Saccharomyces cerevisiae S288C: one gene and its partners. Changing the gene in region 2 together with the main gene of any one other region gives a genetic interaction. Each region holds a gene or a part of one and is shown on either strand. Other genes may lie near its edges.

Region 1 (6,098 bases), on a different chromosome or scaffold from region 2:
GAGGGTTTTCAAGGATTAGACTCCACGAAATATGATCACTTAGAATTGATTAACCATAAGAATTGGAAGGAACTGTATCATGCTATCCCTAGAAATACCAAAAATCGCCACTATAAGCTGTTGATTTTAGCTAGGCATGGTCAAGGTTACCACAATGCTGCCATACTGAGGTACGGTATGGAGAAATGGGACGCCTATTGGTCGTTGCTTTCGGGCGATGAACATGGAGAGTGGCTTGACTCTAAACTGACACCTCTGGGTAAAGATCAAGTTAGAAGAACAGGATCGAATGTCTTGCTACCAATGGCAAAGCAATTAGGTATGCTACCTCATGTGTTTTTCAGTTCTCCAATGAGAAGATGTCTCGAAACATTCATTGAGTCGTGGACACCAGTGTTAGCGGAGACGCAAGAATTACCGGCCGGAACTAAAATTTCTACACGCATTATAGAAGGTCTAAGGGAGACGTTGGGCTCTCACACTTGTGACAAAAGAGTGGCTCACTCAATGGCAGTTGACGAATACCAGGATTTCAGCACGGAATCGGGCCACACTGTACATTGGCAATATGTACCAGATTACCCAGAAGATGATGAATTGTGGCTTCCTGATCATAGAGAAACGTGTGCTGAAATGGACAAACGTACACTGAATGGATTATTTGAACTATTTAATCAATTGTCAAGCGAAGAAAAATTCATCTCGCTTACTTGTCACTCAGGTGTCATTCAAAGTGTCTTGAGAAACTTACAGCATCCTCCAATTTATAACCTGGACACAGGTAAAGTCGTCGCTGTCGTCGTGGAAGTACCAGTCAACACGGCCGATCGCGGCAGGCTCTGAATTTTCCCACAGCGCCCATTCGGGACTTTCAAATATGTGGGTAATTTAAATAATTTTTTATAGATATAATAGAGTGGATGGAATAAAACCCTTTCTTTTCAAATAATGTGTTAAGCACTTTGAGAAATGGTTGAACCTTTCACTTTGATCATCGCTTTCTCAAGCTAGGTGAGAACATACATTTGAGTATAAAATAAAAAATGCATATGTGAAATTATATGAATGCAAAGGGTTCTTAGTTCCTTTTTTATTCTTGTATAGTTTTCACCGCTATGTCCACTCCCTCTTTTATACTATACTAATCGATGCCACAGAAAATATAGGCTTGGAAGTAATAAGCCCCCTTCATATACTTTCGTACAAGAAAATGTAACCGGTACATTAAAACAAACTTCAGTAGCCTCCCCTAATCACTCGGCAGGCAGACCTACGATCTTGAACAACTATTATATAGTAGCAAGATGCTAGCTCCATCGCTTTTCTAACTAAAGGTAAACTGATCGATTTGCATTTATATAATAAACCTCGGGAAGAGCTTTACCGAAAAAGGAAACCGTTTGCTGTGACAAGTAAATATAGAGTAATCTATTATAAAGGGTTAAAGCAATCTCGATTCAATTGACCGCGAGCAAATTAACAACAATCCAGTTATAAAACATTAATTTGCTGATCACATTTGAATCAAAAAAAGTAAAGAGAAATACTTATAACCGTCAATGGCTGTCATAAAAAAGGGAGCACGCAGAAAGGACGTTAAGGAGCCCAAGAAGAGATCTGCAAAAATCAAAAAGGCTACATTTGATGCAAATAAAAAGAAAGAAGTAGGTATTTCTGATTTGACACTTTTGTCAAAAATATCTGATGAATCTATCAATGAAAATTTGAAAAAAAGATTTAAGAATGGAATTATTTATACCTATATTGGCCATGTGTTAATTAGTGTAAATCCGTTCCGCGATTTGGGAATATATACAAATGCCGTTTTAGAGTCATATAAAGGAAAAAATAGACTTGAAGTTCCACCACACGTGTTTGCTATTGCGGAATCTATGTACTACAATCTCAAATCATACAATGAAAATCAGTGTGTTATTATTTCTGGTGAGTCTGGTGCCGGTAAGACAGAAGCAGCCAAACGTATTATGCAATATATTGCAGCTGCATCTAATAGCCATTCAGAATCGATTGGGAAGATCAAAGATATGGTTCTTGCTACTAATCCACTTCTCGAGTCATTCGGTTGTGCTAAAACTCTGCGGAACAACAATTCTTCAAGGCACGGGAAGTATCTAGAAATTAAATTCAACTCACAATTTGAACCTTGCGCAGGTAATATCACAAATTATTTGCTAGAGAAACAAAGAGTTGTTGGTCAAATTAAGAACGAAAGAAACTTTCATATTTTTTACCAATTCACTAAGGGAGCATCTGATACATATAAACAGATGTTCGGTGTGCAAATGCCTGAGCAATATATTTACACTGCTGCGGCTGGCTGTACTACTGCAGATACAATTGATGACGTAAAAGATTACGAAGGCACGTTAGAGGCTATGAGAACCATTGGTTTAGTCCAGGAAGAACAAGACCAAATTTTTAGGATGCTGGCGGCAATTCTGTGGATTGGTAACATTTCCTTTATAGAAAATGAAGAGGGCAATGCTCAGGTAGGAGATACCTCAGTGACTGATTTTGTCGCTTATTTGTTGCAGGTTGATGCTTCGTTACTGGTAAAATGTTTAGTGGAAAGAATCATGCAAACCAGTCATGGAATGAAGAGAGGCTCAGTTTATCATGTACCTTTGAACCCAGTCCAAGCAACTGCGGTGAGAGACGCCCTTGCTAAGGCAATTTATAATAATTTATTCGACTGGATTGTCGATAGGGTTAACGTATCTTTGCAGGCATTTCCTGGTGCTGATAAATCAATTGGGATTCTAGACATTTACGGCTTCGAAATTTTTGAACACAACTCTTTTGAGCAAATATGTATCAATTATGTTAATGAAAAGTTACAACAGATTTTTATCCAATTGACTTTGAAGGCTGAGCAAGAAACTTATGAAAGAGAAAAAATCAAATGGACCCCCATCAAATACTTTGACAATAAAGTTGTCTGTGATTTAATCGAGGCGAAAAATCCACCGGGCATTCTTGCTGCAATGAATGACTCTATTGCAACTGCTCATGCAGACTCCAATGCCGCTGACCAGGCGTTTGCTCAACGACTTAACTTATTTAATTCAAATCCATACTTCGAATTAAGGGCCAACAAATTTGTTATTAAACATTACGCTGGAGATGTCACCTATGACATCAATGGTATCACCGATAAAAATAAAGACCAACTTCAAAAGGACCTAATTGAATTAATTGGAACAACGACAAATACATTCCTTTCCACAATTTTTCCTGATGATGTTGACAAAGATTCAAAGAGACGGCCTCCAACAGCAGGTGACAAAATTATTAAAAGTGCAAATGAACTGGTGGAAACTTTGTCAAAAGCTGAGCCTTCCTATATCAGAACAATCAAGCCTAATCAAACTAAATCACCAAATGATTATGATGATCACCAAGTGCTACATCAAGTAAAATATTTGGGTTTGCAAGAAAATGTTCGTATCAGGAGAGCCGGTTTCGCTTACAGACAAACTTTCGAAAAATTCGTCGAAAGATTTTATTTACTATCTCCAGATTGTTCATATGCTGGTGATTACACTTGGGATGGGGACACCCTTGAGGCAGTCAAGCTTATTTTAAGAGATGCCATGATACCAGAAAAAGAATTTCAACTTGGAGTGACAAGCGTATTCATTAAAACTCCAGAATCTCTATTTGCTCTAGAAGACATGCGTGATAAATACTGGTACAACATGGCTGCTAGAATCCAGAGAGCATGGAGAAGGTTTCTTCAAAGGCGTATTGATGCTGCGATAAAAATTCAGCGTACTATCAGAGAGAAAAAGGGTGGAAACAAGTACGTCAAGCTTCGTGATTATGGAACCAAACTTTTAGCGGGTAAAAAAGAGAGAAGATCCATGTCTTTACTTGGATACAGGGCTTTTATGGGTGATTACTTATCCTGCAATGAGTCTAAAACGAAAGGATCGTACATCAGAAGACAGGTAGGAATTAAGGATAAAGTTGTTTTTTCGATAAAGGGGGAATGCCTGCACTCTAAATTTGGCAGATCAGCTCAAAGATTGAAAAAAGTGTTTATCTTAACAAAAAAGACATTTTATATTATTGGACAAACACGGGAACAGAATGCTATGAAATATACACAAGATTATAAAATTGATGTCGGTAAAATTAAACAAGTGAGCTTAACAAACCTCCAAGACGATTGGATGGGCGTTATCCTTGTTAATAGTACACAATCCGATCCACTCATTAACACGCCTTTCAAGACGGAATTAATGACACGTTTGAAAAAATTAAATGAAAAGATAATGATAAAAGTTGGTCCCACGATTGAGTATCACAAACAACCAAACAAGTTGCACACTGTCCGCTCAAAGATAAGCGATTCAGCACCGAAATACGGTGACATCTACAAGTCAAGTACAATATACGTGCGTCGTGGACACCCTGCTAACTCCAAATCGAATAAAAAACCTAAGAATCCAGGTGGGTTGAGCGGGAAACCTATCAAAAGCAAAAAGAGTAAACACAAATCTACTCATAAGCATACACATAGCCATAGAAGTCATAGGGATGCTGCAAAAAAGCAACCTCTCCCTTCGCAAAAACCTGTGAATCCGTTATCTTTGGCAGCTACCGCTGCACAGGCAGCATACAATCCTAAACCGGATAAGACCGTACCAATAAAGTCATCTGCAATCCCTGCTGCAAAAGTAAGCTCGAAACACAGCTCAAAACCCTCATCGAAGGAAAAAGTCGCAGTAAAGAAAGCCTCCTCAAGCCACAAATCCTCATCCGCCAAGCAAAACCAGGTATCGATGCCACCTTCAAAAGGGGTTGAAAAAAATAAAGAACCGTTAAAGGAGACAACTGCAACTGCAACTGCAAACATACCAATACCACCACCCCCTCCCCCCATGGGCCAACCAAAGGATCCGAAATTCGAAGCTGCATACGACTTTCCAGGTTCCGGATCATCTTCGGAGTTGCCATTAAAAAAGGGCGATATTGTATTTATAAGCAGAGATGAACCTAGTGGTTGGTCTTTAGCAAAGCTTCTCGATGGAAGCAAAGAAGGTTGGGTTCCTACTGCTTATATGACTCCTTATAAAGACACAAGAAATACGGTGCCTGTTGCAGCGACAGGGGCAGTGAATGACGTTACAAATCAGAAATCAAGCCAAATCGACAATACCATTTCAAGTGCACAAGAAGGTGTACAGTTTGGAAGTGCAACAGTTGGACCCACTAGTGATAATCAGAGTAATCCGGTGGGGACGTTTAGCGACGGTTTAGCTTCTGCATTGGCAGCAAGAGCAAACAAAATGCGGGCGGAAAGTGCTGACGATGATGATAATGACGATGGCGATGATGATGATGACTGGTAATTAACATGAATATATAGATGTTTAGTCTCTTATAGAATGGTTCTTCGTGCATGCCTCTTAACATACCAAAAGTGCATTACATATACTTTTAAACATACTCTCGCAGAAAGTTAAAGTCCCTTTTTTTTTTTTTTTTTCATTTTTTGTTTGTATTTTCCCGTTTTGAAAAACTCCCACTTTAATGCAGGACATCGTTCAAAACAAGCTTTAAAGATTTGACAGTAAAATCCTCACTTTACTCAAGACATTTTTCTCAAAAAAAGAGAAAGCACAGTAAACCCTCCTTAATTTTCCTTTTGCATAATACCAGACACTTAAAAATGAGCAAAGACAAAGATATCAAAGTCACTCCTGGAACTTGTGAATTAGTTGAACAAATACTCGCCTTACTCTCCCGGTATCTCTCATCTTATATTCACGTGCTGAACAAGTTCATCAGTCATTTGCGAAGGGTAGCTACGCTACGATTCGAGAGAACTACTTTGATTAAATTTGTTAAGAAATTGAGATTTTACAACGATTGTGTGTTAAGCTATAATGCATCAGAGTTTATCAATGAAGGTAAAAACGAATTAGACCCAGAGGCGGATTCGTTTGACAAGGTAATTTTACCAATAGCTTCAATGTTTGTTAAATGTGTTGAAACGTTTGACTTACTGAACTATTATCTAACGCAGTCATTACAAAAGGAAATTTTATCTAAAACTTTGAACGAGGACC
Region 2 (6,654 bases):
AAAGGCGATGAACTTTATGAAAAGGTGTACGGACCCGACGAAATATTGGCTAGAGTATCTATTATTGATTCTATTTTATATGCAAATGATCAGTTGAAAATTCGATTAATCGAAAAAGTTACTGAAAAAACAAACGCACTTTATGCTATAAAGAGAACCGACGGTGCCGAAGCGTTACAGAGGTTGTTGCAGTGGCAATTGTTATTATTATCACTACTAACCACCAATGAAAAAAAATTAAGCGAAACTAGCATGATCAGAATTCTAAAGAGTATCGAGGATGAAAGTTCACCACTAGTAAGAGTATATAAAGAATGGTTCATTTCCTCAAAGGTTGTTGATTATTATAAAACTGGCAATCCAAAATTTGCTGAGGATTATCTCTTCTCATTGCTGGAGGATCATAGCAAACCGGTGTTTGTAGTTAGCGCAGAAAAAATATGCTTTATGGTGTTGAAAGATTTAAGAAACGACGAAAAGAAATATGGATTTACACAGTTACTAGACAGATTCATTTGCACGTTAGTTCCTAACGCAGCTTCAAACAAACCTCTGGTAAGGCATTTTTCTAATTCTCTAATAATTTCATTATGGCCTACATTCAAAGCCTACCTATCGGATCACACACTGAGAAACATCATTGAGAACTTATATTCCAATGCCAAAAAGACTCAAATATTTGGTCAATATCGTGCCGGGGATGCCAACATATGGGATCTGAAGGGTGATAGGAAATTAACGAACATGTTTGGTGGTGTGCTCAAAAAAGTTACCGACCATGATTGCCCGTACATTTCTGAGTCTGTTTTCGAAAAATATTTGCAGGAGAAAGATATTGTTCCTATAGGTACCGATGAAAGGTCCTTATGGCTTGATAAAAGAGACACCAATACGGAATCTGTTAACAACGCGAACATCTCCTGTGACACTTCTCCACTGCAAACAAAAAGTGGAGCTTGGGAAACCGTTCTGGATCTGGACAATAAAAAATCGAATGATGTCGTTACACGTTCTGAATTGATTGTGGTATCTTCATTAGTTGATAAGCCGCCAAACCTGGGAGGTATTTGTAGGTTATGTGATGTTTTAGGTGTGGGACTGCTTACTGTACAAGACATCAAAGTCAAAAACCATCCTCAATTTAAAAATGTTGCTGTGACTGCTGATAGATGGATGCCCATGGAGGAAGTTGCCCTAGATGAGATTGCAAGTTTCATGAAAGAGAAAAAGAAGGAAGGGTACACATTAATTGGGCTAGAGCAAACGGATAAATCAGTGAAGCTAGACAACAATTTCCAATTCCCTAAAAAATCATTGATCTTGCTAGGAACCGAAGCATTCGGTATTCCGGGGACTTTGTTAAGCGAATTGGATTTATGTTTAGAGATTCAACAATTTGGTGTGATCAGATCAATGAATATTCAAACGGCAACCGCAGTTATCGTTCATTCCTATACAGTTCAACACATGTAAGAATCAGGTTTCATTCCCACTTTTGTTAACCATGAAGTTTTTAGTATGTAAACTAATTTGTCTTTTTATCTAATTGTGACTATATTTTTATAAATTCTCCAGTGATCGTACTACGTCGGGGGCGTATTTCTCCACCATTGCAAGACCTTGCTTCAACAAATGAGGTTTAAAGCTTTTAACGTTTGAATCATTCAATGCTACTGATCTGATAGGTGATGTAATCTTACCATTAGACCAGGAAATGATTAGGCCATTATTGGCCACTTCGCTTTCGTTGGCTGCAGGGTCCAATAGCATATTGTTGCCTACAACGGCCAATATAAACACTAAAGGCGGATTAATGTCAAGCTTAACCATGTCGTAATCATGAAACGTAGGAAGTTCTTCCACCTCTAAGTCGTCAAAAGCTGAAATAAGTTTCGGTAGGTATGTGGAGTTCAACGCTGAATAAATAGCAAAGGATATTAAAGAAACTGGGTGTGAATGTGATGAAATGACCAGAACATCGACAAATATTTTGAAGCTGTACTTTTTTGTCAATTGCAACTTTGAGGAATCTACTCCGCTACCAGACTTCAAAACCTTGTTCAGTAAAGAAGTGATTGTCTCTACTACCAGCGCGTCATCTCTTTGGCCTGCGATATCTACATCGACCTGAAGTAGTTCATTCTCCACATGATGATCCACAACTTTGGACTTAATGCTCACGATACATTCACTTCCATCACTAGCTATAATTCTGGACGATCCATTGGAACTTGGTAGGAAGTCAGTAAATATTTCTATAGGTCTGAATTGATGAGGTAGTCTTCCATCGGGCCTAATTGAAGGCGTGCTTGCTAGTGAATCGTATAGGTACGACTTTTCGGCGACCGAAAGAGACATAAATGATTATTTCAACAGAATCTCAAACTGTCGTTGTGCTAGTCAAAAAGAATGCCTTTTGCCGTCTACAGACTATTAGTATCATTGTACTCCTTCACCATATAAGCTCTACGTTTCTTTTTTCTGAATATTAGAAAAAAATTTCGCCAACTAGGGTTCAAAATAATAGACTAGGGCACGGAAGAAAAGCACACCCTAGGGCTTTCGGAGATAAATTATTAATAGCGAGTTTTTTTTGTATTTACTTATTTTATTATTTCTTTAAGATATCTAGTAGTAAGGATAGAACGGGTAGATAGAATAGACAAATGGAGTTATTGAAATATTTATACGAAGAGATAGAACAGAGAGACAAAGAGTATGACGTGAAAATGATGCGCAGTAAAACTAAATCCCGTCTCTTAAATGAATATGCTGTTTGGTGTCACGACGTCCACATTTGAATTGTCCATGTCAACGTCAGGGCCCTTGTTGGTGTTGTCCTTTGCCTCTACCTCGTGCTTACTCTTGCCATGGCCCGTCTTTCTATATACCGTTTCTTGCTCCAATGCGTCCACTCTCTCATTGTAATTGTTTAGCACAATTTCGTTCTCCCTGACAGAGTCCTTGTACAGCGCCAGGTCTCCCGAATCAATGTTCTCCAAGTCGTCGCTGTCGTCAGCTTCAAGACGGTCGTCAGCACCCTCCAACTTAGCTATGTATTTACCCAAGCGGGCGTTAGACCTCTGCAAATGATTGATACTGTTCTCAATTTCTGTTTTAATCTGTGCCAACTCCATGTCGGACATGCCGCTTATCGCCGTCTTAAATTCTTCGATCTGGATTGGTCTTCTGATACCGCCTGCTGAGCACATTATGTTACTTGTAGTAGTTATTATGTTTTGATTTGCTTTATGTTTTATAAAGATCTTACCCCTCTTTTTGTCAAGAGAAATAAGCTTCTGAAGTATTGTTTTCCTGGTGAAAAGTGTCTTATTTATATGGAGAAGGGATATTCGGCCTCGGTTTTAGGGGAGGAGCTGAAGAGTTGTCCCGCTCGAAAAAGACCCGTAAGCGCATTTATCGAACTACGAAGTAAAATGGACTTTCGTAGGTGTGGACAATAGTAAATTGCAAGTCAATCCCGGGATGACGTCAAGATAGACAGTCAATCTGTCACAGAGGAATGCTTGCTAATCCAGGAGCTGGCGAGCTGGCTAGCTGTGGAGACTATTCCACCATGGTACACACTAGGATCCTCGATCTTGGTGAGCCATGAGTAGAACTTGTTTGGTTCCACCCCTCCGGTTGCCATGTTTATATCTTCCTCAGCAAACTGTTTATCTTGCATTGGTGAGGCGATTGGGTCATCTCTTTGGAAATGGGCGGTAACAAGGTGGTCAACCACCGGCCAGCCGTAAGCGTTGGAAAACCTTCTTCTTACGATGATGTTATTGTGGGCATCTGGTTTCAGCAATACCACGACTTTCCTCCAATGCATCCCCTTGTGCCAGCGGCGTGCTATGATTTCCTCCATCTCTTTTCTCGTCTTCCTCGTTTCGCCTTCCTTGGCTGCTGTTCCTTCATAAAGTGTTGGTGATGGAGGCGGTAAATTCTTTTCTGTGTAGATCTTATCATGTATGATTGTTGCGACCCTTGCATCGGGATCTGAGAAGAACTTTGCGTCGGGGCATGGTGATAGAAGCACAGACTTCATAGATTTGATGACGGAAGCATTCATCAAGCGTTTAGATTTCTTGTCGCAGTTATTTTCCTTGCTCTTCCAAAACGTGTTCCATGACGATGCATTGATTCCATCATCATCATTAGCAACATCGCTATGATTTGGAAGTTCCCCAATAGGACTTACTTCAGGCTGGAAGAGAGGATCACAAGGTGCCGTAGTTTGACCTCCCAGTTTCTGAAGTAATTGAGAGTAGTCCAAAAAAAGTAAAGAAGAGGAGTACAAGGGAACTATTCCGTCGTTGACGGCATTAGCATAAAGTGTTCTTCTTTTGAATCGAGCAAGCACACTGATTAAGGATTCCTCGGATAGCAGGTAAAGTAGGGGCTTATCACCATAATTTCCATCCTTAAGACCCAGTTCTTGCCCCGTAGTACCAATGATACCCATCGACAATGACATTTTTACGTAATTGGGCGTGCTGGTAGCAATGCCTAGCAATGGTGACGCCAGTGAGATAAAATTGATTGGCTCCACTTTCTTAAAGAAATATGGATATTTGGTCTTTATGTAACAAATAGCAAAAGTTTGTGTTAATCCACCCAGGGAATGACCAATAAATGAAATTTTCCCAACAGAGTCATCATATAACTCGTCGATGATGTAGTTTGCCAATCCAACACCCAAAAACTTAATACCCTTCTCAGTCTCACAAGCATTCTTCATATATCCCTTAATAACTAGTCGCTCATTTGGATTGTTCATTTGAGCCTTGTATATTTCTTCCATTAAGTATTCCATATCTGCCGAAACGTTTGATTGAAAACCATGCGTGAGAATGACTAAATGGGATTTTTGCGACATGTCTATGGGTCGTGGTACTTTCCATATATCTGCGGTGGTAAGTCTATGCACCGATAATCCTGTGTGTAAAATATTGCAGGCTTTATCAGGCAATGAATCATTACATCGTATTTTTCTTTTCAAAGAGGCCTTTGAATTGCCGACTACTATCTCAAAAGTTACCTTAGTTTCTTTATTAAATAGTATTTGACTGACAATATCCACTATCCATACATAGCGTGGCTTAATGTGGTGCAAGGACAACTCTGCAATAAACTTTTGTTGTGCCTGTAGGTTTGATTGAAATACTGGTTTATCCGCCGAACATATGATCTTATACGAGCTTTCGTAATCTTTTGCTCGCACGTCACAATATAAGATAAATGGGCCCAATAGATAGGCTGGTTTATAGGATAGCTTTGTGGTATTTTTGATCTTTACCCATAGGGAATCCAGTGTGATATCAGCGGGAATACTATCACCCTGGTATAGCTCATATGTAATAACGTATCTTTCTAACTCACCTAACTTTACTGACGACTGATTGTGGTATAGCACTTCATCAGCACTCCTGCCAGCTTCCATATTACTACCGTTTCCCCGATGTTTTTGGGTGAATAAGGTCAGGTGAGCATTTTTTGTACTGATATTTTTTCTCTTTGTTTGCAGACACAACGCTTGCTGTTAATACGCTAAAAACATACCACACTACCTTGAACAAATCCTCCAAGAGAAATTTGTAAGAATTCAGAAGCGGTTTCAGGGGAAGTCGGCTTAGTTGTCAATTGTAATTGAAAATCACCCTCTAATTTGAAAGATTTTCAGTTTCAATAAGACATCAATCTTGCCAGTTTGTAATTTTTTGGTATATAGAAATGGTCTTCAAGCATAAGCCTTAAGAAAGATTCGTCCATTGGATGAACCTACAATTTTTTTTGTGTTATGATGTGAAGCTTCATTTGAAGCATTGTGCAGAGAATATTACAAGTAGATTCAAAAAACACATTGAAAAAAAATACAAGTGAAATCACAGTTACTTAAAAGTCATCAAAAAAAATATTCCCGGCCTCAGAGCGAACATATGAAAGTGAATATGGAGTACACAAAGGGTATGTGGGGGTTATATATTGTCGTCTTTCTTTTAACATTCAATAATGATACTAACGTTGATTAATGATGATTCATCGCAGAAAAGAAAGTTGGTGAGGGTACTTATGCGGTTGTTTACTTGGGTTGTCAACACTCTACTGGAAGAAAGATTGCTATTAAGGAGATCAAAACATCCGAATTTAAAGATGGTTTAGATATGTCAGCTATCCGTGAAGTTAAGTACCTCCAAGAAATGCAGCATCCGAACGTCATAGAACTAATAGACATATTTATGGCTTATGATAATTTAAATCTCGTTCTGGAGTTCCTACCAACTGATCTAGAGGTGGTAATAAAAGACAAATCAATACTGTTTACACCAGCAGATATTAAGGCATGGATGCTTATGACTTTGAGGGGCGTGTATCATTGCCACAGAAATTTCATTTTGCACAGGGATCTGAAACCAAACAATTTATTATTTTCACCTGATGGCCAGATAAAAGTAGCAGATTTCGGTCTAGCAAGGGCGATACCGGCCCCACATGAGATACTGACAAGTAACGTCGTAACAAGATGGTATAGAGCGCCAGAATTGTTGTTTGGAGCTAAACATTACACATCGGCTATTGATATCTGGTCAGTAGGCGTTATATTCGCGGAATTAATGCTAAGGATACCTTATTTACCAGGACAGAATG
Region 3 (3,921 bases), on a different chromosome or scaffold from region 2:
ATAAAGTCGCTAACCCCTGGAATTTATTGTGCATTGTTTTTTTTTTTTTTCAATTTTTCATGTTCTTTCAAGTGCTAGTGTTTCTAACCCCCGAGAAGCATTAAGTGGGTAACAATATAATTGTGAAGACAGAAGTTCCACAAAATCAACTTAATCCAGAACCAGCCGTCAGGGATATTTGAATCTCTGATCCCGAATGGGCTTGGCTGGCTGCAAGAAAGAACAAAGACAAGGAGAAACAGAGTAGATATTATTCGTAATTTCGTTATCTGAAGGATTCAGTGATTTAAGTAGAGTTGGACGTACCTTAAACCACAATATTATTTGTATCGAAAATCTTTAACTTGTGATAAATAAAAAAAGATCGTCCTTTTGTTGCGCCTAAATGTTAACAGTAAAATTATGTTTGTTTATATCTTCAATACATTATTATAGAAACAAAATATAAACAAACTTTGGAACTAAATAATTTTTATAGAGCCCAACTACTCCATAAAGACAGTGGTTCTATTGGAAAAATAGTTACACAGAAATGAATTGTTGAAATCGTTGACTTTAATATACAGTTCATGCTGTATCTAAATTATTATTATGAACAAAATAAAACAGCGACCGGTGTTGATTGCAAACGGTAATTTCATTTTGAGATAAGAAGAAAAATAGCGGCGAAAATGTATGTAAAAATTTCGTTATATAATGTAGATGCACAAGATTTCTTCATTATATTTTTTGCATTTCTTTCGTAAGAATATTATTGAAAAACTTATAGTTATCCAGGTACAAGTGATGCCCTGAATGAGGAACAATGATGACGTTACTTTTTTGTTTCAACTTCTCTTTCAAGAATCTTGATACTCTAAGTCCACCATTCACATCCATCCAATCGTCATCGCCATAAAGCCAAAGCCAGTCACAATTACTATTCTTTAAAATATCAGACTTTTTGCCATCGAATAGCTGCTGCTCCAATGATAGTCTTGGTTCACCACCACATTTCAAAGCAAAGCTTAATAAGTATTCACCTGAACCACGTTTATTGAAAATAGCATATGCGTATCTATGCAAGGCTTCAAACCGTTTTGACTGTTCTGGATCACCATTCAAAATGTGCTTAAAGCGCCGATATGACCATCCACTTGTAATCTTCGAACCTAACTGGCGAAAATTTCTTACTAGTGTAAAAGGCGAGATATTTCTGTCCCAAAGCTTGACATACCACCAAGGAGGCGGTTTCCATTTTTCAACCTCTGAAGCAGTATTGTTGAAATCTCTATAAGACACGCCTGCTGGGGAACAAAGGATCAGCTTTTTAAAAGATGGAGATTCCTTATATTTTTGCAAATATAAAGCCATCAAGTAAGACCCTAAAGAATGTGCCATAACAATGTTTTTCTCAGGTCGGTTCAAAAGATTTCTTTTACTAAACCATGTGTGTATTCTTTCGTGAAACCAATCTTGAACGCTGTGAATATTATCTCTCGGATACTCGAACGGAAACTTAGGTCTTGAAGAAAAACCATACCCAGGCAAATCGATGGCATGTATGCACCACTCGTTATCCAATAGTGGAATATCCTCAAAATTCTTGATGAAAAAACCCAATCCGGCGCCATACCCATGAATGAAAACCAGATGTTTTAAGTCAGCCTCAGGCACTGAGGTTTTTCGAGGGCGTATGCAAAATTCATTGATGTAATTGCCCTCATCATCAACAACAGTTCTTATAAGTCTTGCTGTTTTTGATTCCGAAGGAGTGGGGTAGAATGGCAGCGTTTTCAAAAGTTCAGTCTGGAATGCATCCTCGTTCTTGATAAAATCTCGGAAGTCCTTAACAGAATCTTCTAAAGGGCGAGGAAACAAGCTTGGGACTCTATAGATAATCTCCCTTAATGGTATTGCAGTTGGTGCTGACGGAGTTCTTAATATCTGTTTCTCTGTAACATCTCTTGCGGAGGCTCTAGGGGACTGTGGCCGTGTATTCGATGAGTCAGCCCCTCTAAGAAGTTGAAAACCTTTCAAGGGTCTTCTTATTATGGAGTTTAAAGTTGACTTGAACATTAAAAGGCTAACCCTTATTAATCAGTATAAGTATTAGTGTACCTTTCCGTTATCCTTGTCAATAACGTGCTTGAGTGCTCATTGCAGCTCACTTTTATGTTCTATAATGTATCAGCCACTCTAGCATATTTCGGGGATTATCCAATAACGAACGGCGGAAGCGAAAAAAATAAAAAGAGCCCTTTCAGAAACAAACTACACCATCAATTTACACAAAAAAGGCTGAAAAAGGCAAAGGTGAAAGAGGCTAAACACTGACAAAATGTTGTGATAACTCCCAAGTCTAATCTGCATAAAATTTACAAATTATATATGTTCAAATAAGTTAGAATAGAAATCAAATAACCTCCGTTGATTAGTCTTCATACTACTAGTATATTGTCATATATAAGTGTAAAAAGATGACATAAAATTGAGAATCAGTCGTCAAATTTCACAGAAGCCGGAAAACAAGGATTGCAAATGCAATAAGATAATGAATGACAATGTATAAAACGAGTAAGAAATGATAATAGCATTATGCGGAGATATCGGTTCCATTTTGTGAATTCCTATATTATGAAGGAGAATTTTTGGTATACTCCTTTTACATAATGTTGTATATAGCATATAATAAAAGTGGAGTTAAAAATGTTGGTAATTAGAAATTAGAGGTGGTATTAATGAAGATTTAAATATGAATCTTAACCTTTTTACCATATAGGGGGGGGTATAAAAATACATACCGACTATTTCATCTTCATTATGACCGATATACCAATAACGAGATCTTTTACTATAGTTTCAATGTAACGACCCATATCCTTATAGATGAAAACACCAAGTTGATCATTCAAAAAAGTAGATCGGTAACTTTACTGTCCTTCCATAATCACGTGCTTACCTATGGTTATCCATCCTGACATATTAATGACGAACTGCATCTGATTACTTATATGATCCTAATGGTTAGTTATAAAGAATAATGAAGTCACTATTCTGACAATAATTTTATCACGAAATTCACACACTTCCATTGATAACGTAAGTAATTTACAGTACAATTTTGCTCACGTTTTAAGCCGCCCAGGACAAAAAGATGCTCATCACAGCTACTCCGGCCATCGTGGGTGACATTCGTATAGTCATATTCCCATAAATAGAGCATCCAAAATGGAACTTTCTGTTGTATTACGGGCTCGAGTAATACCGGAGTGTCTTGACAATCCTAATATAAACAGTCTTAGGGAAGTAACCAGTTGTCAAAACAGTTTATCAGATTAATTCACGGAATGTTACTTATCTTATATATTATATAAAATATGAATCATACTAAGTGGTGGAAGCGCGGAATCTCGGATCTAAACTAATTGTTCAGGCATTTATACTTTGGGTAGTTCAGCTAGGGAAGGTCGGGTTTTGTCTCATGTTGTTCGTTTTGTTATAAGGTTGTTTCATATGTGTTTTATGAACGTTCAGGGTGACGTATTGTCATACTGACATATCTCATTTTGAGATACAACATCTTCCTCTCTCTCAGGGTTGTCTTGTGTTTCGTAGAGTTGTCTAAAGTTGGCTAATATTGATCTTCGTGTTCTTTCGGGAATTTGGCAAAATTCAGCTTCTGAGTATTCTACTGAAAGTGTTGGGTCTACATCTTGCATGTGACATAAGTAAGTTTTGTGTGTAGTATCTATTCCTATGAGTGCAGTAACTTCGTGTGCTCTCTTAATTCTTTCAGTGGAGCTGATTGGTTTATTCTTTGGGTACGCGTCTGGACGGTATACAAACTTTTTCAGGAATTGTACATTAATAACTCTGTGCTTTTTCTTGTGAGAGTTTAAATCTAGTTCGTAGGCGTTATCGTTTATTTTCTTGACAACT

What was found. Genes that interact genetically often act in the same process or in processes that back each other up.
Region 1: mutations in TMA17 (region 2) and MYO3 together harm fitness more than expected from each alone (negative genetic interaction), as found in Saccharomyces cerevisiae (2 studies listed by BioGRID).
Region 3: mutations in TMA17 (region 2) and CLD1 together harm fitness more than expected from each alone (negative genetic interaction), as found in Saccharomyces cerevisiae (2 studies listed by BioGRID).

The regions. Positions count from the first base shown.
Region 1 is NC_001143.9:195,629-201,726, reverse strand, and holds MYO3 (myosin 3), read left to right. Parts: upstream 1-1,559; coding exon 1,560-5,378; downstream 5,379-6,098. Other genes in the region: PMU1 (putative phosphomutase), read left to right, coding at 1-843; SHE2 (She2p), read left to right, coding at 5,699-6,098. UniProt on the Saccharomyces cerevisiae protein: One of two redundant type-I myosins implicated in the organization of the actin cytoskeleton. Required for proper actin cytoskeleton polarization and for the internalization step in endocytosis.
Region 2 is NC_001136.10:261,753-268,406, forward strand, and holds TMA17 (Tma17p), read right to left. Parts: upstream 3,213-6,654; coding exon 2,760-3,212; downstream 1-2,759. Other genes in the region: TRM3 (tRNA (guanosine(18)-2'-O)-methyltransferase), read left to right, coding at 1-1,473; exosome non-catalytic core subunit RRP42, read right to left, coding at 1,561-2,358; YDL109C (putative lipase), read right to left, coding at 3,506-5,449; TFIIH complex serine/threonine-protein kinase subunit KIN28, read left to right, coding at 5,946-5,973, 6,055-6,654. UniProt on the Saccharomyces cerevisiae protein: ATPase-dedicated chaperone that assists the formation of the RPT6-RPT3 ATPase pair, an early step in proteasome assembly.
Region 3 is NC_001139.9:711,846-715,766, reverse strand, and holds CLD1 (carboxylic ester hydrolase), read right to left. Parts: upstream 2,059-3,921; coding exon 721-2,058; downstream 1-720.